Rhinolophus ferrumequinum: one gene and its partners. The protein of the gene in region 4 interacts with the protein of the main gene of each other region in a pairwise test. Links are inferred from orthologs where the notes say so. Each region holds a gene or a part of one and is shown on either strand. Other genes may lie near its edges.

What was found.
Region 1: the proteins of DZIP3 (region 4) and ZCCHC10 interact in binary tests that used the Homo sapiens proteins (3 or more experiments, as listed by UniProt). The link is inferred for Rhinolophus ferrumequinum from reciprocal best matches to the Homo sapiens genes DZIP3 and ZCCHC10.
Region 2: the proteins of DZIP3 (region 4) and HNRNPUL1 interact in binary tests that used the Homo sapiens proteins (3 or more experiments, as listed by UniProt). The link is inferred for Rhinolophus ferrumequinum from reciprocal best matches to the Homo sapiens genes DZIP3 and HNRNPUL1.
Region 3: the proteins of DZIP3 (region 4) and ZNF24 interact in binary tests that used the Homo sapiens proteins (3 or more experiments, as listed by UniProt). The link is inferred for Rhinolophus ferrumequinum from reciprocal best matches to the Homo sapiens genes DZIP3 and ZNF24.

What each region holds. Positions count from the first base shown.
Region 1 is NC_046307.1:9,250,609-9,257,795, forward strand, and holds the start of ZCCHC10 (zinc finger CCHC domain-containing protein 10), read right to left. Parts: upstream 3,002-7,187; 5' UTR 2,952-3,001; coding exon 2,911-2,951; intron 1-2,910.
Region 2 is NC_046298.1:39,590,645-39,597,698, reverse strand, and holds the start of HNRNPUL1 (heterogeneous nuclear ribonucleoprotein U-like protein 1), read right to left. Parts: upstream 3,009-7,054; 5' UTR 2,847-3,008; coding exon 2,552-2,846; intron 1-2,551. Other genes in the region: AXL (tyrosine-protein kinase receptor UFO), read right to left, coding at 6,700-7,051.
Region 3 is NC_046302.1:29,354,182-29,361,334, forward strand, and holds the start of ZNF24 (zinc finger protein 24), read right to left. Parts: upstream 3,001-7,153; 5' UTR 2,852-3,000; intron 986-2,851; 5' UTR 907-985; coding exon 487-906; intron 310-486; coding exon 162-309; intron 1-161. UniProt on the Homo sapiens protein: Transcription factor required for myelination of differentiated oligodendrocytes. Required for the conversion of oligodendrocytes from the premyelinating to the myelinating state.
Region 4 is NC_046285.1:36,204,475-36,211,843, reverse strand, and holds the start of DZIP3 (E3 ubiquitin-protein ligase DZIP3), read right to left. Parts: upstream 3,003-7,369; 5' UTR 2,736-3,002; intron 1-2,735. Other genes in the region: protein CIP2A, read left to right, coding at 3,248-3,349, 7,028-7,175. UniProt on the Homo sapiens protein: E3 Ubiquitin ligase proteins mediate ubiquitination and subsequent proteasomal degradation of target proteins.

The DNA of each region.
Region 1 (7,187 bases), on a different chromosome or scaffold from region 4:
GAACAATCAGGTAGGTCAGCTGAACATCATGGACAGAGAACTGTATAATGGGTTGAAGTCAGTTATACAGAGAGGCATCCAGTGATGGCCTGCAGGGTTTGGTCCTCAGCTTGGTCTTATTCAACTTTTTTATAAATGATTTGGATGAGGACCCAGATGTGCATCTATCAAACCTGTAGGTGACACAAAGCTGAGAGGGACAGCTAATACGACAGATGACCGAATCAGGAGCCAAAAGGTCTTGACAGCCTGGATCTCTGTGTCAATGATGAGGTGAAATTTAACAAGGGTAAAAGTAAGTTTAACATTTACGTCCAGAAAATCAATATAAATATGAGTACAAGACAGGGGAAGCTTGGAGTTGAAGGCAATTCAAATGGAAAACACTTAGGCTTTTTAACTGACTGAAACCACAGAATTGGTCAAAAGCTGGGAAGTTAGAAAGGAGTAGGGTTTAGCTTCATAAATATTATTTTCCCTTTAGTTCAATATAAACTTTTTGATAGATTTGAAAAACGTAACAGGCTACTTCAGGAGGTGAATATGTCCAACTGGAGGTCTTGAAGCCAAAGTTAGATGACTACCCTGGATGCTGAAGAGAGTAATGGAATGTAGGGGGGTGTTGAGTGGAAGAAATCTACTTACATATGAATGTGAGTACATGTAATTACAATTTACAAAGTGAAAATAATCTCATTTCAATTGATTTAAAGTTAAGTCCCTGAAGATCTGCTGCATGGGGAGTTCCAATTTAGGCTTTTTTGTTTTCCTGTTACATCCCGCCTTTCCTCTGTAAGTCCAAAGACTTTTTCCAAGACAACAGTACTTTCTCACTTCTCATGACTAACTTAAAAACAGTTTAAAATCTGTTATTATAGAAGATTTCCTCTTTACAAATAAAATTAAACCTCTTTGATAACTATAAAACTAAAAGCAAAGGCTCCTTTTCTGCTTTTCCCGAAAAAATTTTCCCCAAACTCTCCTGGACGGCTCTAGCCTCTAAAGGCCCGCCTCCTCTGACTCCCTGGGGACTTACAGTCTATATACCCTGACAGCTTTTATTATACACCATATGTTTTCTTAGCAACAAAAGCAAAAGCTCCTAAAGGTAAGATTTGTCTTTTACTTCTGTGTAGCTCATGTACGAAATACAGGCATACTGTAGAAACAGAACATTTGTTTAACTTACTGATATTTCTAAAATAAGAACTAGCAATATTCTTTAGGCGCTACAAGTCCTACTCTCACTTCATAATTAGAGTGGACATTGGTTGGTTTGGCCAATCTAGCATTCATTACCTCCTCTGAGACTACCCACCCCGCTCATCATTGGTTTACAGAAATCCATTCAAGCGCATTGGGAAAAGAAAGAGATCTAAGTCAATCGGTTTCACAACCCCAAAGACATGGTCTAGGGTTGGGCACGTAACCCAATCTACACCAATGAGATGCCACCAACTTGAAGCTGAGAGGATATAAAGGGTCCTAGATACTGCAGCCATCTTGGGACCAAGGGAACGAACATATCCAACTATGGAACTGACACCCAAAAGAAAACACCTGAGAGTTAGAGTGGACCCTGGTGACATCATTTAGTCTGCCTATTAAGTATCATTATCACTCCATTCTTGATCTCAGAACTGACTTCAAAGCCGTCTTCCTCCACTAAGCATACGACATACCCTGACGTCCTCAATCGATACCCTTATGCTCAAGGACCTCTTCTCATCTGGCATGAGAGACAGTCTGATGGAGGGAAGAGAATGAAAAGGGCCCTTAGAATAAAAAATGTAAATAAAAAATATATAAACATATATGCTAGCAGAATGTGAGTGATATATTCCAGACGTACAAATGGTGATGGCATGAAATGCCGAGAGAATGGAAAAGTGGCAGACATTTGGGTGTGAGGGTTGATAGAAGAAAAAAGGCTTTACAAAAAAGGGGCAATCGGGAAGAACTCCTGTATTATATGTCCACGGCAAAACTTTTGTGCCTCTCCCTCTCACTCATTCACCATAATGGTCATTTTTCAGTTCTGGAAAACTAAATTCTTTCCTGCCTCAAAGCAATTATTCCACCGTCTGAATGCTCTTTCCCTAAATCCTCTCATGACTGGCTCCTTTCTCACACTTTCAATCTCTTCAAACGTCCCCTCTTCAGAAATACCTTTCCAGTCCAACCAACCGAACCTGGGCCTTTCTCTTTTTCCATCACCTCTTATTTCCCTCAAAGTTCTTATCACCAACTGTATTTACTGAAAATGTTTAGTTTGTCAACTCCTCCCACTACTAGAATGTAAGCTCCCTGAAAGCAGGGTTTGTCTTGAATACTTCATCTTTATACCAAAATCTGGCAGAGTGGTAGGTAATGAATAAGTCAGTATTTATTGAAGACAATGAATGGCAGAAAGTGAGACTATAGCTCGGGAGAAAAGTTGGCGTTGTTGTAGTCAGGCTGTTCCTAGGGAAGGCAATAGAAAGGGGGCACGAAAAGCCAGCTAGGCTAGAGTCTGCAGACGTCGGCGAGCGTAGGGGGTGAGGACAGGGCTCCAGGCTTCCCCCGGCCAAGCGTGGGGTGAGCGGGCAGCCAGGTGGGCGAAGGGACACAAACTACTTAGCGACTAACTCCTGCGGTTCCCTTCCGGGAAACCAAACTCGAGGCTCTCTTCAGAACCCCCCTAGTGCCGCCCCGGGGATCTTACGCAGCCCTCTTCTACGAAATCGCTGGCCCATGGGCACCAAACTTATTGCCCGCGCCCCCCGGGACCAGGCAACGGGTGAGAAAAACGGCCACCCTCTGCCGGTCCCCACTGAGAATCCGACACTGGTCCCGCATCTTGGCGCCCGCTCACCCGCCGGCTGACGCGCTTCTCCCCGCCCCCCACCCCCGACTGAGACCCTCACTTACGCTTGTCTCCGGGCTATGAGCCGATGCATGGGAGTCGCCATCTTAGTGCGGTTAAGGCCTGCCGCGCTGGGTTTTGGGAAACTCCTGAGGTGGGCGGGGACTTCGAACGGTAGCGGACGCAAGAGTGGGCGGAGCTTGTCCTGCCTCGTTGGCTTCTGGGACTGGTTTTGGGGCAAGCAGTGTGCTGCTGTGTCTGCCTTGTGCGTGTCTGGTTTGGGGAAAGGGAGTGAGGCCCACTGTCTGGCCTGAACAGGGTTTTGAAGGTTGGGTACTTGTACGGTTGTTCAAACCCTTGAACAACACGGGTTTGAACTGTGAGGGTCCATTCAGATATGATTTTTTTCAATAAGTACATTTGGCCTTTCTTATCCACCAGCATCCACAGGCGTCGAATCCATGGTTTCAACCAGCCGAGAATCAAAAACTGTTTTTGCATTTCCAACCTTGATTCCCAAACACAGGTGGAAAATACTGTTTTTGATCCGCGGATGTGAAGGGCCTACTGTAGAGTCAAAAGTTGTGCACGGATCCCGGGTCCGGGCCTCCCAACTGCGTTGTTCAAGAGTCACCTGTATTTTGCGTAGAGAGGCAGGAAAGAACGTTCTTCACAAGGAAATTGTATGTGTGTGTGTGTGTGTGTATAATTATATGTAAATGAATAATTTTATATGTGTAGATAGTTATATATGTATGAATATGCACACACAAAGAAGAAAACTGCAGTGTTCAGAAAACGACTTGGTCTGGAAACCAAAATAAAAAGGAATGTGTTGAATAGGATTGGAACCATCATTCGAAAGACTAAATTTAGCAAACCCAAAAGTGAAAATACATGTTAATTATATTTTTGTGTATTTCATAGGGATGTTACAAGGACCAAATGATATGTAAGTAAAGATGCTTTGTCAACAGGAAAAAGATTATACAAATACTATTAATTATTTGGTATATTTTTAGCATTTAGTGTCAGATCATGGAGATTTTATTACTTTAAATCCACAGTCTTTGAAACAACTTTTTGAACTATATATATATATGTATGTTTCTGAGTCTCCATTTTTTTCAATTAATATTTATCAAACACCTACAATGTATTAGGAACTGAGGATAAAGCATTGAATGAATAAAGTTCTTGTACACATGGAACTTTCTGCAGACAATAAACAAAGGCAATGTAGAGCGTAAATACTCTAAAGAAAAATAGTTGAATGTAAGGGGGAGAAAAGCTATTTAGCATTTGGAGATAGACTTTTAGTACATCTTTCTATTTTAAAAAAAATACAGAGTGTTACTATCTGTTCTGTTCTTCAGCTTGCTCTTTTCATTCCTCAGTGTACTTATGGACATCTTTTCCTGTATCAGCACATACAGATCTAATTCATACTTTTTATATATTACGTTATATGGCTATTCCACAATTTATGCAACCAGTACTGTATTGGTGAACAATTCGATCATTTATCACAGAGATGGAATGAACAGATATTTAACCACTCACCCGTGTTTCTGTACGATGACTTCCTAGAAGTAGAATTGCTGGGTCAAAGGATATGTGCACTTTTAATTTTGATAGATTTTACCTAAGGCCCTATAAATAGGCTGTACCCAAAACTGCTTCCTCACCTGACCTGAGAACGGTCAAACTTTGACTTTTGCCTATCTAATAAGCCAATAGGATGTATTACTGATGAGGTTAAGTACCTTTCGTATGATCACTGAAGACCTATCTTGCATGAGTTATCTTTTCATGAAAGATAATTCACAAAAAATAGCAAATTCTCTGCTATTTTTCTATTAGGTTTTTATCTTTTTAATGTTGACTTATAGAAACTTTTAATATTTTACGTACAAATCCTTTGTTTTACATGTTTACAAACATTTTTCCTATTTGTTCTCTTTTCATTTTGTGATCATTTACCCTATAGATAGGCATTAAATTGTTATGTGGGCATTTTTAACAATCTTTTTCTTTATGGGTTCCTAGATTTGGCTAATGTTTAGAATGGCCTTCTATGTCCTAAAATTATTAAAATATTTTCTTGTATTTCATTGTAATTATTTAACTACAACTATGATTATATTCTTAACCCTAATTTTTAGTATTTGAAGCACCGTTGACTAAATAATCTATCACTTTTTTATTGATTTAAAATGCTACTTTCTCATATACTAAATATGAACAAATTTAGTTTGTTTGGATATTATATTTTCTTCCAAAGTTCTATTTGTGCCAGTATTTGTGTCATTGTTTGAATTTCCATTGTTTTATAGGACATTTTGATATCTGATAAGGCAAGTCCCTCCTAATTAGTCCGTTTTCCCTCAATTTTTTTGTTGCTCCTAGGCATTTACTTTCCTGGATGAGCTTTATTCTCAAGTTTTCAAGTTTTCTTCAAAACAATATTGAGATTTGGGGGTGGCCGGTTAACTCAGTTGTTTAGAGCGTCGTGCTAATAACACCAACGTTGCCAGTTCGATCCCCGCATGGGCCACTGTGAGCTGCATCCTCCTTAAAAAAAAAAAAAGGACAGGAGGGCTTATTTAAAAAAAATAATAAAAGCAACAGCATTAAGATTTATTAGTCAGCTAATTTTAAAAGAAATTGCATTATAGCAAAGGTGAAAAGGCAAGACACATATGAAATATAACAAATCAAAAGGAGGAAGCTAATGAGATTATTTGTGATGATTTGTTTGCACACCTGGAAAGCCTACAGGAATTAATCAAAAACTTCTAGAGAGTTCAACATAGGAGTCACACACACAATACAATAATAACTCTGTTTATTAGTGGCAAGACCAGACCACTGTAGCTGTTTCCCACTGAGACTCATGGGCTTGACGGACCCTCAGCTTTGTCCAGAGGCAAAGGCTACAATCCAAATGCTAGGTTTTATAAACCTTAATGGGTAGAAGCTGAAAAAAAAAATTAAAAACCCTTGGGAAAGCAGCAAGTAACTTCTATCTGGCAAGAGTGAACACTTTATTGGTCTTGAAGCAGACTATTCCTTTATTCTAGGGAAACCTCCAAGTGTCTTCCAGTTATGTATGTGTGATGTCTCAAAGAACTCAGGGAAGGATGGATATAAAAGGCATATGTGAAGGGAGAGCTGCATCTCTCTGGACTGGGTTGCTTTTCGTCAGGATGGTTGTTTCCTGCCCTGACCCTGACCTGTTTATGGGCACCTGTGGTTAGAGCTGAGCATAGAACAGGGCCTGCTTTGTGGGCACACAAATTACACAGCACACAGGGCCTCTCCTTAGAAAAGTCCCACACTTGGCTTGATTCTCTGCTACTGCCGTGTTGAAATTCTTAAAATCTTTTGAATAGGAAGTCCCGAATTTTAATTTTGCACCTGGCTCTATACATTATGTAGCTGATCCTGCACCAGAAGTTGGTAAATGTATTTTTACAAGACACTGTGAGACTGAGCTTAATGAAAACTTGCTCCACCAGGACCAGCAGAGGAAAGAGAAGTGATCCTCCCATTTTTCTTAGAATTCAGAATCAGTCTTTTCTCTGAAGATTAGTAGCTATTGTCAAAAAACTCCCAAACAAAAATGAAACCAAAAAAAACCCACTTTTTTTTTTTTATCCTGGTGCAAAATCAAATGTGGGTTCTCCCTTCATATGCCTTTGCATATAAGAAAAAGACAGTTATTTTTCTTCCAGTAGGATAAGAAAATTTGACTGACTTGGCTCATTAAGGGAGAAGTTCAGAGCAGGGAGACCATTTGTTTTGTAAAGAGGGGGTTGGGGGAAGGGCTTTTAGGCACCTGTGGGTATAAGGCTCTGGTTTTCTGAAAAGAGGATGGCTTTTACACCCATCTCTGGGCGTGGGGGTGAGAGTGGTGCCTGAAGCTCCCTGGAATGGAGTGAGAGCTGCCTTTCTTGGTTATTGCCACTTTCCAAGAGGGCTTGAAAACTACATACTCAAAAGCTGTGTCACATCCTCTTATCTTCAGACACACCTGCTTGGGTTCCTCAGAGTCCTTGGGCCTTGATGCAATACTTTGCTGTGACATACATAGCTGTGAATCCAGGATTTGTTGGTTTCCTCTCTGGTCACTTCAATTTATCTGCAGGAGAGAAGGAAGTTGACCTGCTGAATGAAGCAGAGATGAGAGGCAGAGAAAGAAAGAAAAAAAAACACCTGCCTACACCTGATATTTTCTCCTTGAATTCTTTGGGTTATCATAGCTTCCCTTCAGTAAATCTCTTTTGTGATTAAGATGGTTCAAGTTGGGTTTCTGGTTTTTGCCCCCAAAGAATTCCTG
Region 2 (7,054 bases), on a different chromosome or scaffold from region 4:
ACATGGTGAAAGCTCAAAGGTGGGACTAAAAGCAGAGTGGGACCAAACATGAAACTTCCTCAAGAATCTTGAAGCCAAACCCAGAAAGAAGTTTGGAAACCTAGGACGAGCAACAAGCAGGTTCTCCACCCCAGGGGCAAGCTCTGCTAGGTGCCTCTAGGGCCCTACCAGCCACGGTGCCAGGACCAGTGAGGCAGAACCACAGGGAAGGAGAGACTATTCTGCAACTCACTGACTGACTGGATCCTTTCTCAGAGGACAAATACATCTGGGCACAAACCAGGTGCAGCCCAAAGGGAGGAAAGTCATAGACCACGTGTTTTGCGACAGGTCTGTTTACTAAAGTTGAAGGAAGGATTGGAGGCAAGCATGAAGGGGACTCAAAAAAGATTTCATTGTAAGGGGTAGGGGAGAGAGAAGAAATGGAGTAGCTCCTTAATTGGAACACAGGGAGTCCTTTCAAACCACCGTTTCTCCCAGACTCCAAGCATAGTGCTCTTCCCACAAAGCCTCACTTCTCTCAGTTCCCAAGAATCTCTCCTATGCCCACAGAGGCAGCCTTGCCCAGAGAACCTGTGATTCTGGGGTCCTTCTCCAGTGCTAAGCCCCCTTACACATGTGACCTCATTCATAACAATCCAGGAGGGCACTATTATTACCCTTATTTTACGCACAACGAAAGCAGGGCTCACAGAGGTAAAGTGACTTGCCCAAGTCGTGGAGCCACATGTGAAACCAAGTCTGTTTGAGTCTGGAGTCTGTGCTCTGAAGCACCTAACTTGCTTTCCTCTGAGACACCACTGGCCATTGGCTCTTCTTTGTAAGCATTCCTGCCGGGGTCTCTCCTGCCCTAGACCTGCACACTGGGCCACCCCTCCTTCCTTCACAGGTCTCCGCAATGGGAAGTACTCTTCCCAGCATCTGGGTCCTAGATAGTCCCCAGGCCACCCTCTACTCCAAATCCACATTCAACTTGTCCCCCTCTAGGAGATCCCATCTCCCATGAACAAGTAAGTACCCAATGCCAACCCCAAATCTTGTCTCTTTCCTGACCTCCTTGTTCTCCTCATTCCCTTAGCCCCAAGGCCCAGGGTGCCCTCTTTTCAGAGAAATATCACAAACCCCGGATGCCAGAGGCCTTTCTTCTTACTCCTTAACCTCTCCGATCCCCATTCCCCAGTCCTGCTAGAAAGCCACCCTTTGGTAACACCAGATATACTCCCTCCCCATACCAGGGTCGCCCTTCTTCAGATAATCACAGATCTACCCTACCACCTCTCGTTCTAAGTCATACCCTGAGTGATGCAGAGGTTTCCTGCTACCTCTTGAGGCCTCCCGCCAATCCCTGGGCACACAAATAACTGTTTTGGGGGCCAAGGAGACCTCTCAGCCCCAGAAACATTATCCCCCATTCCACCCTGAGGTCCCCAGCCAAGTCAACAGGTTTTCTCTTTCCTTCCACATCCCACACACTCTATCCTCCCCGATATGTGCTAGGCCAGCTACACATTCCTGTGGACACAAGGATCCCGTCCCCCAGATACTCCACCGACTTCAAACTCCACCGACTTCAAACTCCACCAACCTGTTATCTGCCCCACCCCACCAACCCGCTCTTCAGACTGTTAACCCAGACCATTCAGCCTCTGATAGAAGCCTCTGAGCTTTCTATCCCCAGAACCTTGCCAGCTCTAGATCTTTAGGTCCCCTGTGCAGTGAAGCATCTTTCTCTCCCCTGCCAGTCTCCCACTCCAAAGCTCCCTATACCTCCTCTACAAGTCAACCAGAAGGTCCCCACATTTCCCAGCACCCAATGTCCCTGCCTCAGGGTTGGCCTTCAGCCCTGGATTTCAGAGCCCCTCAGGCCATCTTCAGACAGATGAGGTTCCCCCCAGTCCAATCACAGGGTGGTTTCCCATATGCCCTAAACGATCACCAGCCAAACACTAGAGCACCCGGTCCATCAGACCCTCCCCGGCCAGACATCACTTCCATCTCACCAACCCGTCCTAGTAGCAAATATGAAACTTCCCATTACCCCACCAAGCTGCAAACTCCAGCATCCTCCATCCTCAAAACTCTCCCAGCCCTGAACACCTGCCCTGAAAACACGGCTCCCAACGCCCAGCCCACAAGCTGGGCTAACACAGCCTCCGAGCCCACCCAGCTCCAAAGCCTAAGATCATCGTTTCCATGACCCTCCTGGGCTCCTGAATAGAAAACCTCTTGTTTTTCCGATTCGCTCAGCTCCCGAAACCACCGCTTCCGGTCTCCCAGCCCTAGGCTTCAGAATCCTCTAAATCCCCCCGGACTTTTCTCATCTCCGAAACCGAGGTCCCCCACGCCCAGTATCTCCCCTGCACCGAATGCCAGGATCCACCCTCCGGTCGTCCCGAGGCCCTTCTCCTGAGATTCTTTTTTCAGCGGAGGGCAGCAGGATCCCCCAATGCTCAGACTGTCTCCCCGACCTCAGGCGCCGGACTCCCGCGTCCCACAGCCCTTCCTCGGCCCGGACTCCGGGCTCCCCGGCCCCCGCCCCGCGCACTCTCACAATGTCCGTCCGGCCCCGAGTAGCCGCCAGGCTCCGGGTGCGGCTGCAGCCCGGGCGGCGGTGGCTGCGCGGTCCCCTCCAGCTCGGAGCCCCCCTCGGTCTCGACCTCCTCGTTGTTGTGCCCGGGTCTCCCCGGTTCGTCGTCGGCCTCGAGCTCCCGCTCGTCGTCGGGCTCCTCGGCCTCCAGCGCCGCCTGCAGCCGCTCAGCAAGCTCGGCCTTGAGGCCGCGAGTGTCCAGGCCGCGGCGCTGCAGCTCCTCACGAAGTTCGTTCACCTTCAGACGGCGCACATCCATGGCCCGGGCCCCCGGGGCGGCCCCCGAGCCCGGCCCTGCCTCCCAGGCCTCTGACCCCCTTAAACCTTTCCTGTCAGAAGGCGAAGGGGGAAAGGGGGGGGCTACTCCAATGGCCGCGGCAGCTCAAAATGGCCGCCGCCACCTCCTCCCCCTCTTCCGTAGTTTCATGCGATGCAACACAGGTGCCAATTGGCCACGGTGTGGGCAACCGGCGCGGGCCCGGAGTCTGAGCCAATCAGAGAGCGGCTTGCAAAAGAACGGCAATGGAAGAGCTCAGTAGCTGCTGGGGAGGAAGCGTTGGCCTACGTCGCTGCCGCGGCCCGAGCAGAGGGCGGGAAAAGACGGGAGGCGGAGCGCACGGTGATTGGGTAGCGACCGTGCGCTCGCTCCCGTAGGGTTAAATGAGGGGAAGGGAGTAAGGACTTAGGCCAATCAGCGATGAGATCTCAGAATGAGCGCGCCCCACGGCCTTTCCTGTGCAGCCCTTTCATCAAACTAGTGCCTCTGTAACACATATTCTAATTGGTCTAGATCTCTCGTCCCTACAACGAATTAAAAGGAGGGTCGGCAGACACCCCCACCCTCCACTACTGCCTTTAAGAAACCGGAAAGAGTTGAATTCACGAAGGGCCCGCCCCTTGCCGTTAGGGCGGTTTCAAAACAATCTGCCCACCAATCGCAATTATTGTTTGATCTCACTAAAGAGATTACAGTTGGATCGCTTTAGGAAAAGCTAACCAGATTGGCCATTCTTCAGCGGACTGCCTCACAAATTTCGCTATAGAGGGAGGCATACGAAATAAAGATTAAGTAGATAAGTTATTCTTGACGGGGAAGGAACTCAGCTGCCGTTTTGAAAAGCGACACATTGACTTCAGAGAGTCCTGAAGGTTTGAAAACAGAGGCTAGACTAACAACGGGAGAAAAGTTGTAAAGGAAATCGCACCGTCTCCCCTTGATAGAACATCTCACAGGGCGCCTCTTTCCACGAACGTAGCTTCGCAGTCTTCTTTCTCTATGGTTGGTGTTTTAAGTGGAATGGGCGCTCTGCACGCAACCATAGAGCCTTTTCCTTGAGGAAGACCTCCAGAAGTTCGCGGGTCTCTATCCCTAATCCTCTAAATTGCTGTTTAATAGATCTTGTTGTTTGGCGTCTGTAGTGACAAGCTCAAACGCATGGGTTCGTAGATAAGCCTCACGCTAATAAATACAAACGCTACAGTTTCACAGTATCTAACGCTGCACCATCTGTCGCCTCTAACTCCAAAGACACAAAACTTCTGTAAGATACACAATCGACATACACAATGCAAACGCCGGCTGCCCACTGAGTCTTACTTTAAATCCACAAAAGCTATATACAACCTTTACTTAGACAAAGGCACAGATAACACAGATAAATAAATGACCGTGAGATCAGATCAGATGCATCAATTCAGGGGATAATACACTAGACTTCAGTGTAGATGCGCCCACAAAGGTCCGCATAGGCACGCGGCATCGAATGATAAAGACACACAGGGCAGTTACACTACAAGCTTACACTACGGCGACCTAGACACGCAGGACCCACTCAGAAGCGGGACAGACACTCACGTGGGCGCGGAGATTCCAATCCAGACACTCCGCCCCTCGCCCACGTCCGACTTCCTTTCTCCTCCCAGCTTCCCACAATGATTTATTCTTTAAAAGTTTGTGGCCCGGATTGAACTGTTCTAGGTTCGCAAGAACCGCCACCGGGGGGCGTCCGGGCGCTGCCAAGGGCGCTTCCATCTGCCCAGGGGCACACCCAGGAATGTGTGCCCACAACGCGTGCAAAACACAGTGGGCTTGTCTTGGCAGGAGTTCCTCTGTGGGACAGTGATTATTGGCAGTGTTATGTGCCTGTGTTTCTATGTGAATCAGAACGTTTGGATCTGTGAGTACTTGTAGTACTCTCTCTGTCTCTGAGTGTTAGTGTCACTTTTCTGTGTCTGTGTTACTCTAATTTCTTTCTATTCTTTTCCTGGTGAGTATCTGCCTGTGCATATGTTTGTATCTGTAGTTTTATGTGTCTTTGTTACTGTGTCCAAACTTCAGTGTCTGTATTTGTGACCAGGTGTGCCTGAGTATGTCCATTAATTCATGTGTCTGTTAATTTGGGGGGTGGGTGTCTCCATGTGACCCTGAGTACCTATGTGCCTATTCCTCACTAAGGGTTTCAGAGAGTCTGCATTTCTTTGCTTGCATGTCTTTTTGTCTGTGCATATGTTCATTTCTACCCTCTTTAGTGAGGGGAGAACTCCTAGACCATACCAAACCCTTCTTTTTATGGATGGGGAAACTGAGTTTCCAGGGAAAGGGACCACATGACTGCTGAGAGGAGGCAAGAAGAGAAGAGACAGAAGCATGGTTACAAAGTTTAATGTGATCTGAGCCCCTCTGGAGGCACCCGAGTCTACACTCTGTACAGGGGGCACGAGGGACTGGCTCAGGGGGGCAGCATGGCCCAAAAGGAGGAAGATTGTCCCCTGCAGAAAGGAGGCATCCCTAATGCATTGCACAGGTTTGAGGAGGCACACCCCCACATGAGGGGAGGAGGAAGCAGAGGTGGCTAAGAAGGAGAGGGTCACACAGAAGACTACTATAAGGTTAGAACCTTGGAATTGTACCTTAGAATCCTAGACCTGTAGACCTTTAGAATTTTAACATTTGAATCTTGAAACTACAGTGCCTAGAATCTTAAGATTTAGAACTGTGGATTTTTGGACCCTTAACCAAAATCCTAGAAAGTCAGAATACAGCATAGAACCTAAAGGTGTACAACATTAGAAATGATTAGAACTTTGGTATATAGTTAGTCACACCCAGCTGTAGAGTCTTACTCCTTAGATGCTGAGGATCCAGAATCTTGGACCAATAGAATCTAGAGTGCTTTGGAACATGGAACAGAACAACATTGGAATCTTACACTTTAATAATCTAGAATCTTGAAGCACAGACACAGAGAACTTAGGTTCTTAGACGAAGTCTTAGTCACATCTTAGAACATTAGACCTTAGAACCTCCACTTGTAAATTCTTAGAACTTTTGAATTCTAGAATCTTAGACATTTAGGATCCAGAATCTCTTAACAAGAGCTTTGAGGATCAAAAGCCTTAGAGTCTATAATTGACTATTACTGGAATTTTAGAACTTGAGAAGATAAAATCTTGAAGCTTTGTGATCTAGAGTCTTACAGCCAGAGCATTTATACTCTAAGAGGCTTAGAATATCGAATTTTAGAATATTAGGCCTTAAAACCTCCATGTTTAGAAGTGTAGGATTTTAGAATCTAGAATCTTACACCCTAAGGAAAAGAAAATCTAGAATCATAGAGTCTTAGATCCTAGACCTAGAATCTTAGAACTTTGGAACCTAAAAACTTGAGGGCTTTATCAAGAATCTTAAAACCAGAAAAATCTAGAGCCATTGAATCTCAGAGCTTTAGAATATAGGCTTTAGAACTACCATGTCTAGAACCTCAGCACTTTCGAATTAGAGACTTTGGGATTTCAGGTCCTTAGAACCAAAGACTCATAGCCATCTTTAAAACCTAGAACCTTTTAATCTAGACTCTTTGAACCTTAGAATCCAGAATCTTGGAATATTGGACCTAGGAAGACCCTTAGGGATTGCAGTCCAACCCCTTCCTTTTACACATGGGGACACTAAGGTGTAGCAAAGGGAGAGGATCTGTGTGGGATGGAAGTGAAATAGGTTGGAAGAGAGGGCTGCAGTTGGGGGTAAGGCCTGGAATGGGAAAGTAGGAGGAGTCCCCCAGTGGCAGTGCCTAGCTTGTGTCCTGAGAGGGAGTCCCATGGGGAGGGTTGTCTTAGGCTCCATCCTCCTGCCCTGGGGGTGCTGGGGAGCCCCTGTCAGCGGGCAGGGTGGGGCCGGGGGCTGTAGATGGGCAGAGGACATAGCGTCCAGCAGGATGGACCTCAGCCGCGGTGAGGCAGCTGCAGGAATCCTTAGGGTCAGGCTGAGTTGGGGGGTCAGCTCCTCCAGCAGCTCCAAGTGGTTCAGCCTGGCTCCCACCCTCATCCATGTTGACATAGAGGATTTCGTCAGGTTCCTGGGCAGGGGGCAGGGCCTTCAGCGTGTTCTCCAGATCTTCCCGCAGCTCTGCAAAACTTGGCCGGTCCTGGGGGTTTAGCTCCCAGCACCGGGACATCAGGGCATACCTA
Region 3 (7,153 bases), on a different chromosome or scaffold from region 4:
ATGAGAAAAGAATCAAGCTCCTACAGTGTGTCTAGTCTAAGAAATCAGGTGAAGGTGATAATCCACCCCCGCCACACACACACGCGCGGATAAACAAAGGGTTCTGGACAAAAGGCCCACACTCTTTCATCCTCTAGTCCACATGGAATTCTGGTCCTCACCACAGTGCCTTAGAGAATGGAGCTCCCAGGATGCCCATTTAAGCTGGTTTTCCACAGCATCGAGCTCAGAACTTGGTAATCCCTGAGCTTCTTCTTGAGATACAATCTCCTCAACTAGCACTTCCCGTTTTCGTCGACGGAGGGAAACCTGGAAATAACAAGATTTGATTCAGTTGATGAGGAATTTTATGAAAATTAGAGCTAAACACACATAAGAGAAACCATACAAAACATATACTGTAGTTGAGCGGAGTTGTTTCAAGCAGCCTTGCCCACTGCTATGTGAGTGCTTCTCACCCAGGAAAAGTGACACAAGCAGGCTCACCGGCTGTCCAGGGTCATCTAGTTCACTCTCTAAGTCCTCCAGCACCGTCACTGCCTCCTCTCCATTCTCTGGATGATGCTCTCGAACCCAAGTCTGCAGCTCCTTGGGCAAGATGGCAACAAATTGCTCCAGCACCACCAGCTCCAGGATTTGTTCTTTTGTGTGGGTCTCTGGCCTGAGCCACAGACGGCAAAGTTCTCGAAGCTGGCTAACAGCTTCACGGGGCCCTGGCGAATCCTGGTATCCAAACTGCCTGAATCGCTGTCGAAAAACCTCTGGGTCAGGGAGATGGTTCCAGGGGATACTTGATCCCTCTTCGCCATCAGGATCCTCCTCCAACTTCACTCTCAGAATTTTTTCATCTTCATCCGGTGTTGGGATGATAAGTATTGAATCTTCTTCCACTGACTGTGCAGACATCCTGATTTATAACACTTCAAAAAAAGATAAGGCAGGATACAGGCTTCTGGGAAATAACTCCTTTTCTTCACAGTCTCTCCTGAGGTACAAAAACATATATTTATAAATGACCAAATATCCTAAGAATTTGGATACATGCTAATAAAGGAAGTAAAAATATTTCTTCTTTTACTGGTTTAAAAATTCCAATCAATAACCTACACCAGAAGTTGGCAAACTACAGCCCATGGCCAAATCTGGCCTGCTGCCTGTTTTTGTACAATGCTTGTATTAAGAATAGTTTTCTCATTTTTACATGGTTGAAAACAAAATCAAAAGAATACTTCATGACATGTGAAAATATGAAATTAAAATGTCCACAAATAATTTTATTTATTTGTTCACAATTCACACCACAGTGGCAGAGTTGTGTAGTTGTAACAGAGACTATCTGGCCTAAAAAACCTAATATTTACTATCTGGCCCTTTAAAGTTTGACCTACAAAAGCAATAAACCTTATTTCAATAACCAAAAGAATCCAAGTTAAGAACCAGCCCACCTCAGAGTTTTCTAAATGCATTCGACCCTGGAACACCTTATTTGCAATTCAAGACTGGCGTTCCCAGCCAACCTTAGGTCAACTCAAAAACAAGGACACTTTTTTATTATCTGCTTAAGGAAAACATTTTTAAGACCAAATGTGTTTTTTAAAGTGGAAAGATATTTTTAAATGTTTAAGAACTCCCTAGACTTAAAATATATGTGAAAAAGTATTCACTTGCTCAGGAAAAGATAACATAATGTTGGAAAAAATTAGCCTCCCGGAGCCATACAATGCAAATATTATAGTCACCCACACCTTAACTACATTTAAACTTATCATTACAGGCATTAATGACCACAAATTCTACGTAGAAAAGAGACTCTCACAACCACCGTAACTTCTTACAGTGGACCTGAATCTTGTCCTTATACTAGATGACTCACAGTTTTCCCAGCTTCTACCTTCAGGGAAAACCTTGTGCTACTTCTGATGCTTCCCTTAGTTATTTGCACAGTCATGCCAGTGGCACTGTTTACAACACATATTAAGAATGAGACATGCAGCTACTCAATTTATCTGTTCAGGGCCCAGAATGTGAAAACCACTAATTTCAAAAAAACTTAACTGTAATCCTATCCAGATGAAGACCAGGGATCAGAAAAGATCTTATCAGGCAGGTATCACATACAAGGTTACTCTGGAATGTGGCCTTACAAATAGGATTCAGCCAACAGATTCGTTCCTTCCTATTCCAGAACGCTACCTTCGCAATGGCTCAAGCATTCTATATGAAAGAAATCTCTTCTATGTTCTTATCCCGCACTCTGATCAAAGGACGGGAAGGAGGTGCCGGGAGGGCAGGCCCGCGGTCCTGACAGTGTTTGGGTGGGCAGCCTCGTTCCACATCTCCCCACCTCACTCCTGCAGAGTTCCGCTGCGAACTCTGTCCCCGCCCCGACGTCCCCCGAACTCTCTTCTCCGCAGTAGCGGCGGAGTATTTCAGATGACCAAAGGCCACCCTGCCACAACAACGTCGGGGACACTGCACTTCCGTCCGCAGCCCGGGGAACTACAAGTTCCGGCAGCTCCCGCGCAGGGCCCGCCCTCTCCCACCTCCTCCCGAAACGAGTCCCAGAACTCTCCGCGAGACGCCAGCGCCTCGAAATAGAACAAAACCGGCAGATGGGGGAGGGGGAAGGCGAGGGTCGCGGAGGACACAGGATGGAGAACTCTCCGAGGGTGCCCAAAGCCCGAGCTGGCCTTTCGTCTGCCCCTTCACGCCCCGCAACTGCTGGGCGCCGAGACCGTGGCCTGTGCGCCGCACCTCCCGGGGACCCGAGGAAGGTACCTGCCAGGTTTCTTCGCTGGCTGCTGCCAAGCAGCCCGCAACCCCTAGCCCAGCGTCCCCGTCACGGTTTTACCTCAGTCTGGCGCAAACCTCCGGCTCAGGAACCTTAGCAGCTTCGCTGTCCAGGGCAGACGCAGAAACGCCGCTCACAAGCAGTTTCCCAGAAGCCCCCTGCGCGGGCTGCTTCCGGTCTGCGGGCCCCAGGAGGCGGGGAGAGGCGAAGCCCCACGTTGCCATGGAGATGCGCTCCGGGTGGGGGAGGGGCTGCCTAACGACAATGACCGCTTTGAGGTTTGGCTTGGCCTCGTGCCTCTCTCCTCAGATAGCCCAATGTTCTGTGTTCCGCTTAAAAGGCAAGGAAAAGAAAGAGAATTCTGCCGTTAGGATAGTCTGTTCGGTTTCACAAACCCTTTCACATGCATTTTCTCATGTCGTCTTCACAGTAATCCTCTGAAAGAAGTAATAAAAGGTAATATTTATGAATGCTTACTACATTGTGCCATGCACCATCACCATGCTTTACGTGTATTGTTACTAATCTTCACAAAAACCTATGATGGAGCCACTTATTATCCCCATTTCACAGCTGAAATAACTAAGGCAGAAGTAAATAACCTGCCAAGAGCTCATTAACTATTAAATGGGAAGCAGAATTTGAAACCAAAGCATGACTCCAGCCTTTGGCTCCCACTGGCTAAGCTACAGAGCTTTATTTTAACCAATTTATCTATTAGGGAAACAAGATGAGACATGTTAGAGCTTTGGCAATGATCTAACATTGAATTTGCAGAATGCACGGTCATCTTCTGACTTCAGGCTGGACATTTTATGCCATAAAACAGTTGCTGAGTGATCATTTAATAACGTAAATCAAACTACTTCATTCCCTATTTAAACGCCTTCAATGGATCCCCGCTGCCTTAAGTATGACATAAAAACTCTACATCCACCTGCATGGCCCCCTGTGGTCTGTTCCCTACCTTCCCTATCTGACCTCAGCTTAGGCTCACCATGGCCCAGCGTCCTCAGTCTCACTGCCCACCTTTCCTCCCGGCATCCTTTGCAGCATCATCTCACCCTGTGTTTTGTTTCGTTTTCTTTTGTTTTTGTCTGTAAGTCCCATAAGGGCAGAGAACTTGTGTCTTGTTCACTGCAGTATCCCCACCTAATCCTAGGATGCTGACTGCCAGGTACATAGAGAACTCAATGGATGTTTGTTGAATGAGTGAATTGTGGGCTGGCTACATTCCTGCCTTTGCTCGGTCACATGTCAGGCATCAGAAACCACACAAAAGATCCCTGTTAAGGTCTATGTTAGAAGTGTAGGTCCAGCCTTCCAGACAGTGCAAGATCTGCAGGCTTTGGCTTTCTGCCTCGTTCAGGACAGTGACCTCTGCAAAGTACCCTCAGCATCTGATGGATTTGTGAATGAGAGAACAAGTCAGCAAGCAGCTGATGATAAAATGCTACTTTACACTTTGACTGGAACTTCCTCTCCACAGATCCCCTGCTAACTCTCATCCTCTTCTTTCTTTGATCATTTAGGAGGCTTCAGAAATCCAGGCTTCACTCTCCTACTTGGCTACTGCCACCAACCCACCTTTGAAAGAAGAGAAAGGTACTCTTCTACCTTTTCCTCTTTTGTCACCCTAATGGCTAGCTCAAGGCATTTTTATTTTGTTTTGTTTTACATTAAGAGTTTTTACATCTAATTAATGTTGGAAAACAGGAAAGATTTAAAAAATCAAATAGAAATACTTAAGGAAATTTTAAATGTTGCAAACTTTTACAAAGCCCTTGCCTGGGATTCCTTTCTGTAATTCCTATTTTTTTCTAAGAGAGTAAATACTACAATGAGGTTTTCCTCTCTAATTTACTCTTTTGAAGACAGGGACCAACACCCACTTTGAAACACTATAGTTCTGAGCCCCCCTATGTGGACTCTTTCCAGAAAGGTGGTCCTCGTTGCCATCTTCAAGATCTAGTCAAGATAGAGCTTCTTGTTCCCCTGGGCAACCTGAGTGTAGGGAATAGCTTCATGCCAGTGCTGGATAACCTTGCATATATCTACATAGGCTACATAGGCAAGGCGAATCTGAGTCTTGGCAGAATACCTTCTGGAACATGAGAGCATGAATGGCTTGTAAGGAGCTGCTACAAGGCCATTTGCACTTAGTTCCCTGTCCTCCAAGGAGGGTGTCATGAGACAGTTTCTTATTGCTTCCTGTGATAAGGCTTTCTGCTTCACTCCCACTACAGTACAGCTGCAGACTATAAAAAGGCTTAGCTGCAGCTCGGCATTAGCCCCTCAGCACCGAGGCATTCCACAACTCATGTTGCAATCATCCAGCTCCTTTTGCTTTGTTGTATGACAAAAGCTCATGAGGAACTGGTACTTATGGCTACTCTTGCTTTCACTGTCTGTGTAAGCAATAATCTGTCTAAATCTAAAAAGGACTCATTGTTTCTTTACTAGCCAAAATTTTCAACCTTGCCTTAAAAGCATCTTATTCATTAATGGAAAACAACAACAACAAATAAACAAGCAAAAAACAGATACTACGTAGGTTCCAGAGAACTAAAGATGACTAAAATGAAGTCATGATTCCTTTTTTTAGCATCACCATCTCATTAAGGAGATAGACAAGAAAACAAGTATTTACAAGACAGTGGAGAAATGCTTCAGTAGAGAAGAACAAAATACCAGTAGGGGCACTTAAATGAGCTCTTGCACTGAGGGGGAATGGAGACAACCTGAGATGGAGGGAGGGAAGAAAAGTTTTCACTTTGGAAAAGCAGCACAGACCTTCAGATTTGGTGTTATCAGATTTTTTTCTAAGAATAATCTTTTCTAGGCTTTTCTCTAACAATTATCGTGGCGCTCTCAGTCCCTCCCTTCAGCTCAAAAGTATGCACTTTAAGTACGCTGGTTAAAGATTTCATTTTAGCTGATAAATGCACTGCACCAGGAGTCTTGATTGCAAGTGACAAAAACCTAACTGTGGTAGGCATTGTTACTTTCCTACACAAAACACTCCCCTAACTTCTGATACACCCCTGATTTTTTTGAATTGGGAGGGTGCAACACTGTGCCCAGCCATAGATAATAAGTTGTGATTGAACTAAGCCATCTATGACTATTACATTTGCCAGATACTTTGCCTCACTGGAAGCTAGGAATGGTCAATGGGATGTAAGGGGAAGTAGTTTGGGTCTTTCAAGAAATTTATCTAGTTCATATACATTGTCAAATTTATTGGCATAAAGTTGCTCACAATATTTCCTTAATATCCTTTTAATGTCTATAAGACCAGTAATGATGTCCCTCTTTCATTTCTGAAATTGGTGATTTCTGGTTTTCTTTTTTATCAATTTTGTTTAAAGTTTACAAATTTTATTAATCTTGCAGAGAATCAACTTTTGGCTTTATTTGCTCTGTTATTTGTTTGCTATTTCATGGAGGGCTACTCCTTTTAAAACACTAATATACAGTAAAATTGGCTCTTTTGGGCATATATTCTGTGAGTTTTAACACATGTATAGATTTGTGAAACTGCTACCAAGATCATGATACAGAATATTTCCATCATTCCATAAAACTCCCTCAGGATGTACTCATAATTTTCCTACATCCTTAACCCATGGCAACCACTGACTTATTATCCATCACACATAGTTTTGACTTTTCCAGAATGTAATATAAATGGAATCATAAAGTACATAACCTTTCACAAACCTTTCGTTTAGCATAATGCCTCTAATCTTTCAGCATAATGACTTTAAGATTCATCTAGGTTGTTGCATGTCTCAATAGTTCATATTGCTGAGTATTGCTGAGTAGTATCTCACTCCAGGTATCACAATTTGTTCACCCATTCAACCATTAAACAACTTTTGGGTTGTTTCTGGATTTGGGTAATTATGAGGAGAGCCATTTAAATACTAACAGACAGGGTTTTGTGTGAACATAAGTTATTTCTCTAAACATCTAAAAGTAGGATTGCTGGGTCATATAGTGTTATAGACTAAATGTTTGTTCCTGCCCCCCAAATTCCCATGTTGAAGCCCTAACCCCCAAATATGATAGTATTTGTAGATGGGCCTTTTGGGAGGTAATTAGGTTTAGATAAGGTCATGAGAGTAGGTCCTGTATGATGGCATTCGTGCCCTTATAAGAAGAGACATAGAAAGTTTGCTTCTCTCTCTCTCCATGTGAGGACACAGGAGACGGTCATCTGCAAACCAGGAAGAAAGCCCTAACTTGGGAACCAAATCAGCTTGTATCTTGATCTTGGACTTCTCAACCTCCAGTACTGTAAAAAAAAATTCCTGTTATTTAAGCCACTCAGTACATGCTATTTTGTTATAGCAGCTG
Region 4 (7,369 bases):
AGACATTTTGGCAAATCTTCAAGTAAAACAGGTATAAAGGGCAATCTCCTAAACACTTTAAAAAACATTTATCACACACCAATAGTACAAGTTATACTAAGTGTTAAAATACTGGTCATTTCCATTCAATTAAGTATTAAGATAAAGATGTTCAGTATCACCATGATTATTCCATGTTTTGGAGACTACACTAGGAGAGATGAAATTATTATTTGCAGATGATAATATAGCTAGAAAGTCTAGGGAGGTAAGTAAAATTCTATTAGAGTAAGAGATTTTAGTAGGTTATATAAAAGATATATCAAAAATCAGGATCTTTTTTCCAGAAGCAGCAACAAATTAAAAATGTATAGGAGAAAAAGAGAGCCCACTCACAGTAACAAAAATTATGTAACACCCAGGAATAAACTTAATGAGAATGGTACAAGACTGTAGGAAAAACTTTCTAAAATTTCACTGGATATAAAATACAACCGGAATACTTTTTATTAACTAGTTAGCAGTATCTGTTATCTTCTCAACCACTCAAACTAAAAATTTGGAAACCCTTCGTTTCATCCCTCTCACTCTTTATATCTGAAATTAGTCACTAAATCTTGCCTATTTCACCTCATATACATTTCTGAAATTTGTCACCTCTTTGCTACCTCCACTTCAGTTATCCTAGTTATCCTTTGGAAAAACTCCAGCAAATGTGATATACTCCATACTTCTAGTTTTATGTTTCTCAAAATCACAGCCCATCCAGCTGCCACAGGAATCAATTTAAAACACAAACCTAACTAGATCAGGCCCCAGTTCAAAATAAAAAAGGTCACCACTGAATTCTGAATAGAGTCCAAGCTCAAAACTAATAAGGCTTTTAGTCATCTGGACCCAGCTTCATCTCCTCCTCTTCCTCCTTTTTGAGGCTTAAAATATGGCTCTGTGTTTCCCATATTAAGATATGCAAGCATCTCTGACTAAAAAGATGCTTCTCACAGCTATCATCATGGTAGGGTATACCCTACTAAAGTTACAATATCAATTTTTGGTGATTTTTCAGAAACATTATTTTGTATTAAAATGGATATTTTATGGAAGATATACAAAAAAATGTGTGACTGCTTAAGTTAAAATGCAAGCTCAAAGAAAGATGGCACTTACAAGAAGCTTTGACCCTTTCCCTGGGCTCAAAATGGGGACGATGATGACACATTTGTCATTACTAATGAAAGTCTCACATTACCAAACTGTTATCACTTCATTTGCCAAGGAATTAAGATGTAACTAACACATGCTGAGAACATAATTATGCCAGGTCACTGTCTGCACGACCTGACATGACCTCACCTCTACTATTCTCTCAACTCCAGTGGCAGTGGTATCCTTACTGTTCCTGACACATTGTCAGGCTTGCGTTTCAGGGCCTCTGCCCTTGCCATTCTATATAGAAATCTTTTCCCCTAGAGAGTATTCCTTGCAGTATTTCCTCAAATGTTGCTTTCTCCTTCCTGACCTCCCATTTCTCTTCTTCTCAGCCACCATTACATTAGAGAAATAATTCTGCTGTTATTTTTTTTCTCCATCTCACTTTCCTTAACTGACTGTGTTTATTATTTAGCGTTTTTTTTCCTAAGAGAATGTAATGGTAACGTTTTGTTTTATTGACAGTATGATTTTTATTTTATTCACTGAATCTATTACCTAGACCAGTGCCTAGCACATTGTAGGCTCTAATTAATTATTTACTGACTGAACAATCTTATGCAACAGGTATTACTGTTAGCCAGATTTTACCTTACGAAGAGATTGAAGCAGTGAGAATCTGCCTTAGATCACACAGGAAAAGGTAGAGGTAGGAATTGTAAGCAGACAGCCTTTACCATAACTTTACCATAACTGCATGGTGCCCCTAATTTATGTGGTGAATTCCATAGGTACTGTTTAGCATATTTCCCTTAGTAGACAGTTCCTTCCCAGCAGGAGATACTTCATTATCTTTGTTCCCTTACTGGCGATGTCTAGACGTCTAGCCCACTTTACACACTCAGTAATTGTTTACAGAATGAATGAATGCATATATACATTACCCAATGATTTTTACAGGTATGTCTAATTGGTTAGATTATTTTAAGCTTTCAGATTTAATTTTAAAATTGATTTTTAATATAAAAATACACCCTGCCTTTAAAAATAGTGATGTAAGGAATACTTCCTTTGAATTGACAAAACATGATTTCTGACAAATGGTTTAATAAAAGGATATATACCGTATTCTTACAATTTTCTCCAAACTGCTTTTTAAAGCTTTATTCAACAGTAGCATACATTAAGCAAAAAGCTCCAGAACCAGCTACTCGACTCATTTAATGACATACACATGCATATTAATTATCTGTGATCAAAAGCCGTAAATGACAGCGCCATTTCCATGGACACCGAGATTTATAAAACAATCAATCACGCCAAATAAAAACAGACACCTTCACTTACAAAAACTGACGCTAATGAAATCACCCTCGGAGCAATACCCGGCCCAGGAGTCACCCGCAGGTAGCTTTCTCAAATAAGTTTGACAACGACTACGTTAAGGGTATGACTAACTTGCCACAGAATCCCAATGGCCATAGGTTTACTCTGAGAAACAAGCATTTCTGCGTACAAGGGGTGGACACATGAGCTGTTAAAAAGGGACCCCTCCCAGGCCGCCTCAAAACCTAGAGCCCAAGATTCTCCTCCTCAGAGCTCCTCACCGTGTCTAGACTAGGGGGAAGCGACCATTTCTCAGGTAGAGGATGATGCGCAAAGGAAAAACTGGCTATCCAGCGTGAAGGCCGAGGAATCAAACGAAAACAGAGCGCACTGATGAACAAGGACCCCTTGCGTCTAACTGCCCCTTCACAGCTTGAGCAGCAATCGCATTTCTCGCGAGATTCTCGTCTTCCCGGGATCTCAAAGCTGAAACCTCGCGGCTTTTCAGATCTGAAAGGACAGCTCCCAACCCACTTCACGGAATCATCAAGCTCCTCGATCTCTCTGCCCGTACTCCCCTTCCCTCCATCTCCTCGACTCCCCCACTCCCCTTCCGTCATTGACAGTAGTCAGTACCCCAGGGTGCCCTGGGGTTTCCGGAGCGTGACCGGAACCGGAAGCTTCTGGGAGCGAGGGGGTGGGGTCTCAAATCAAAAAAAGCGCGGCGAAAGCTGGAAACTCGACCTGGCTGGGTCCAGGTGGTAGACGTTTGGCGTGGCGGTGGCGGGTCTCAATGGACTCCACCCATTGCTTGAAGTCCTTGCTCCTGACCATCAGTCAGTATAAAGCCGTTAAGTCGGAGGCGAACGCTAGCCAGCTTTTGCGGCACTTGGAGGTGAGGGGCTTCGCTGTAGTAATATTTAGTTTACCGTTCTGCCGGAGTGTAGCGGCCCCAGGCTAGAATAGAAAGGACAGCTGTCTTCCTCAGCTGTCTTTTTGTCTTGGTAAAGAAGGCGAGTGAGTATCACCCTTGCGTTCCCACCCTCTTCTCCCCGCCCCTAGTCCCTCCTTGTTCAGCTGGCTGCTGCGGGAGGGTCGAGTGACTGCTGAAAGTCCTAGGAAGAGGAAGGTTGGGACACAAGATTGGGGAATTTAGGCTGTGTTTGGGGGTGGTAGAGGAGAAAGCTCAAAGCCATATCTTTTCTTTTGCTTCTTTTTTTTTTTTTTCTTTTCCGTCGTCACAGAGCCCTGACAGAAGACACAGCGATTCTCAGGGGTGAAGGTGATGGGAATGATGATTAAAATTTGTTTTATTCCTGGTCCCTTAGGCTGTTTACAGTCTGAACCTGTTCCTTCCTGCTTTTATTTTAAATTCATGTTGACCTCGAACTTGAACAATACTATTTAAACTTTCTCTGGATTAAAAGGCAATCTCACTAGTAATCATAATAATTTTTCTTTACCAAAATACATTGCTCACAGCTTTTCAGTCCTAAAATACTGAATTGCTTTCATTTTTTTATTAGTTCCCACTGATTTGTGTCTAGAGTAGTTATTCAGTGTTATAACTTTTTTTGCTCTTCATATGCTGTCATTTGTTAAGCATTGATGGAATTCCGCCTAACAATGCTCTCAGTTGAATAATAAATAATTAAGCTCAATCAAGGCTTATTTTAATTCTCTGTGGCAGCTTCTATTTACATAAAGTATATTCTATTTGTTACATGAACCCTAAATAAAAGATTAAATTACCAAAGATTAGCAAAATTCTACAAAGAGAAGGCCATTGTGAATCAGTCTTCGGTGAAAGTGGAGTGCTTTAAATGTGTCTTTGTTCTCTCGAGCTTCACTTGGTGTTCTTTCTACTTCAGGTGCCCATCTCCTAAGTACATTTTCTTTTTCATTCATTACCTCAACAAATTTCTGCAAACCTAATAAAGATGAAGGTGTTAGCTGTTAAATGCTAATGCTTTGCTTCTTAATTAAGATAAAACACTGTACTAGTGGATCCAGAAGCCACAGAGTAAGCTGGGCTGTCAGTTTTGTTGTAAGATACAGAAGTTAAGTATTTCCGATATTAATTTGAAACATTACCTCTCTGAGAATAAACAGATATGTTGTGAATCTAACTACTATGTTATTGTGAATTGAAGGAGACTTCAAAGAAATTTGAGGCTTAGAGAGTGGCTTCTTGATAGTGTTCCAAACTTTCAGGGGGTTCCAAACTGAAAAATAATCTACCATTTAGAGAGAACATACATACAATGCATAACGTGCATTAATCTTCAGTAAAGATCTTGATAGGTTGTTTTTGTTTTGTTTTTTAACATATCTATACACCCAAGTAGCTACCACCCATATCATATATAGAACATTTCCAGCCCCCTATGAGGTTTTCTTCAATGTCCCTTCTCATAAAGTTCAGAGAAGTGGACTTATACAATATGTACTTTTGTGCCTGGCTTCTTTCAGTCAGTATAATCTGAAATTCATTTGTGTTGCACATCGGCTATACTTTGTTCTTTTTTTATTGCTGTGTAGAATTCCATTGTATAAATGCACCACAGTTTATATTCTCTGGTTGATGGGAATTTGGGTTGTTTCCAGTTTGGGGTAGAATTTGAATAAATCTCTTATAAATATTTTCATACTCTTTTTGCGGCTATATGTGCACTAATTTCTTTTATATAGGAGTGAAATTATAAGTCTTAAACAGTTTATGTTCAGTTTTAGTTGAAATTGCCAATGAATTTTTCACAAGTAAATACCATTTACCTTCCCACAACCAATATATGAAATTTGCTGTCATTCATCCACACCGATCTTTGGTGTTTTCAGATTTTTAAATTTCCACCATTTTGGTGATGATATTAATGGTGAATATCTTTGCGCAGACCTCATGAGAGCAACATGAGGATACAAAGAGAGACAGTTATCCTGTGAAAGAAGATTATTCATTCTGCTATTTTGCTGCATGTCTTCTGCTATATTTTTTCTTTATAGTCCCATGCAGAATCCCAGCTTTGAATTGTTTTGTGAAGGCAGAGCTGAACTGGTCTCAATCTTGATGATTTTTCATAGCACTAATCTTACATAATGTTTATGAGCATGGATTCAGGAACAATGAATCCCAATTTTGCTACTATCTCATTGTGTTTACTCATCTGCACTATAACTAGCCCCTATCTTGCAGGTTATGAAGATGAAAAGAATTAACATAATGTACCTAAAACAATGCCTAGGCCAAAGTAAGTGCTAAAGTATTAGTTATTACTGAAATAAATTATATTTGCCTAAAGCATTCAATGGGTATGAATGAGTAAAGAAGAAAATTTGTAAAGCAGTTTTAAAATGTACCTTGTAATAATTATTACATGTTAGAGTACTTATGTTATTGAATTACAAATCCAGTTCTGAGGGAAATTGTATTTAAAGCAGAAAATGTCTTAATCTTCTAGAGGACTAGCTTTATAAGTAGGCAAAAGAGCAATGTTCAGAAGATTCCTTACCGCAAAATATCTACTATCAGTATCTAATTTAACTTTTGGACCTATTTTTCAGTCTCACAGACTTTGTCTTTAATGTTAAAACACATAGTCCTTGGGAAAAAGATACTCTGAAGTTCTCTTATCAGCAAAGCTTTAGAAGAAAAACTCATCTAGGTGAGGGAATGAAAGGACATAGAAAGGAAAGATTAGAGGGAATCTAAAATAGCCTGCTTAGACTTGATCTTTTAAAAATGAAAACATTTAGAACAGATTTAATATAATTCTGAAGTAACTAATTGTTCTTCCATTTTTATAGAAAAGACGTGCTTAATAATAAATAACATTCAAAAAGCATTTTGAAAATAGGTGTCTGACAACTGTTTTTGTCCTTCAATCCCAGCTTTACCTTTTCAAGGGGTAAGGGGGAGAGTGGTTTGTACGGTTGTAAGAGAGGAGTAAAAAGTGGAATAACCAAAGGTAAAGTTTGTGCCTGACTTGGCCACTTAAAAAAATTTTTTTTTACTGCCTTTTTTGTAATTTCTAGCTTCTGGACTCAGCTACTATCTTTGGGAGGGAGCAGAAGTAATCTGGAATTTAATCCCATAGCTAAGCCTTTGGATTTAGCTACTTTTTACTTTCTATTGCCTCCCTCAAAGTAGGTGGAATGAATGTACTGGAATTCATTTATTCAATAAATATATTAATAGTAGAGTGTTGATTTGTAGTCTATGCCTTTATGGAGTGTTCAGTATAGTAGGGAGGATAAATACTATTAGGTCGCCAAAAGTTTGCCAGTTTATGAAACGTACTATAGGATAATGTAATAGGCAAATCTAACCTAGCTGGTAGAAGAGGGTTAGAGGAAGCTTCTTGGAGGAAACAAATTAAAACTGAAACCTGAGTGATTACATTAATTAGTGAGAAAGGGATTGGTAATATTCAGGCAGAGGAAACAGAATGTATGAATTTTCTAAATTAGGAAAGAATGGCCGTGGCACTTTGGAAGAACTAAGTTTTTATTAGAAATGGTAAAGGGAAGAAAACTGCCAATTTTTAACTAACGCATTTTAATTACTATTTTGTAGGTAATTTCTGGACAGAAGCTCACACGATTATTTACATCAAATCAGATATTACCAAGTGAATGCCTGAGTTGCCTTGTAGAGCTACTTGAAGACCCAAACATAAGTGCACCATTGATCTTAAGTATTATCAGTTTGTTGTCTCAACTAGGTAATGTATTTAGTTTCTCTTTTTCAGTTTTTAGAAAATGTATGAATTTAATATTTTTAAGAGGCAAAATTTAGGCATAGAATCTTTCAGCGAATGATTCACATTCAGAAGATTTCTTCTTTGCAGGTCCTTTCAGAACTATTTTTCTTTGTGGATCTCTTGAAAAGGGAATCTTGTATGCATTCTTTCTTAAA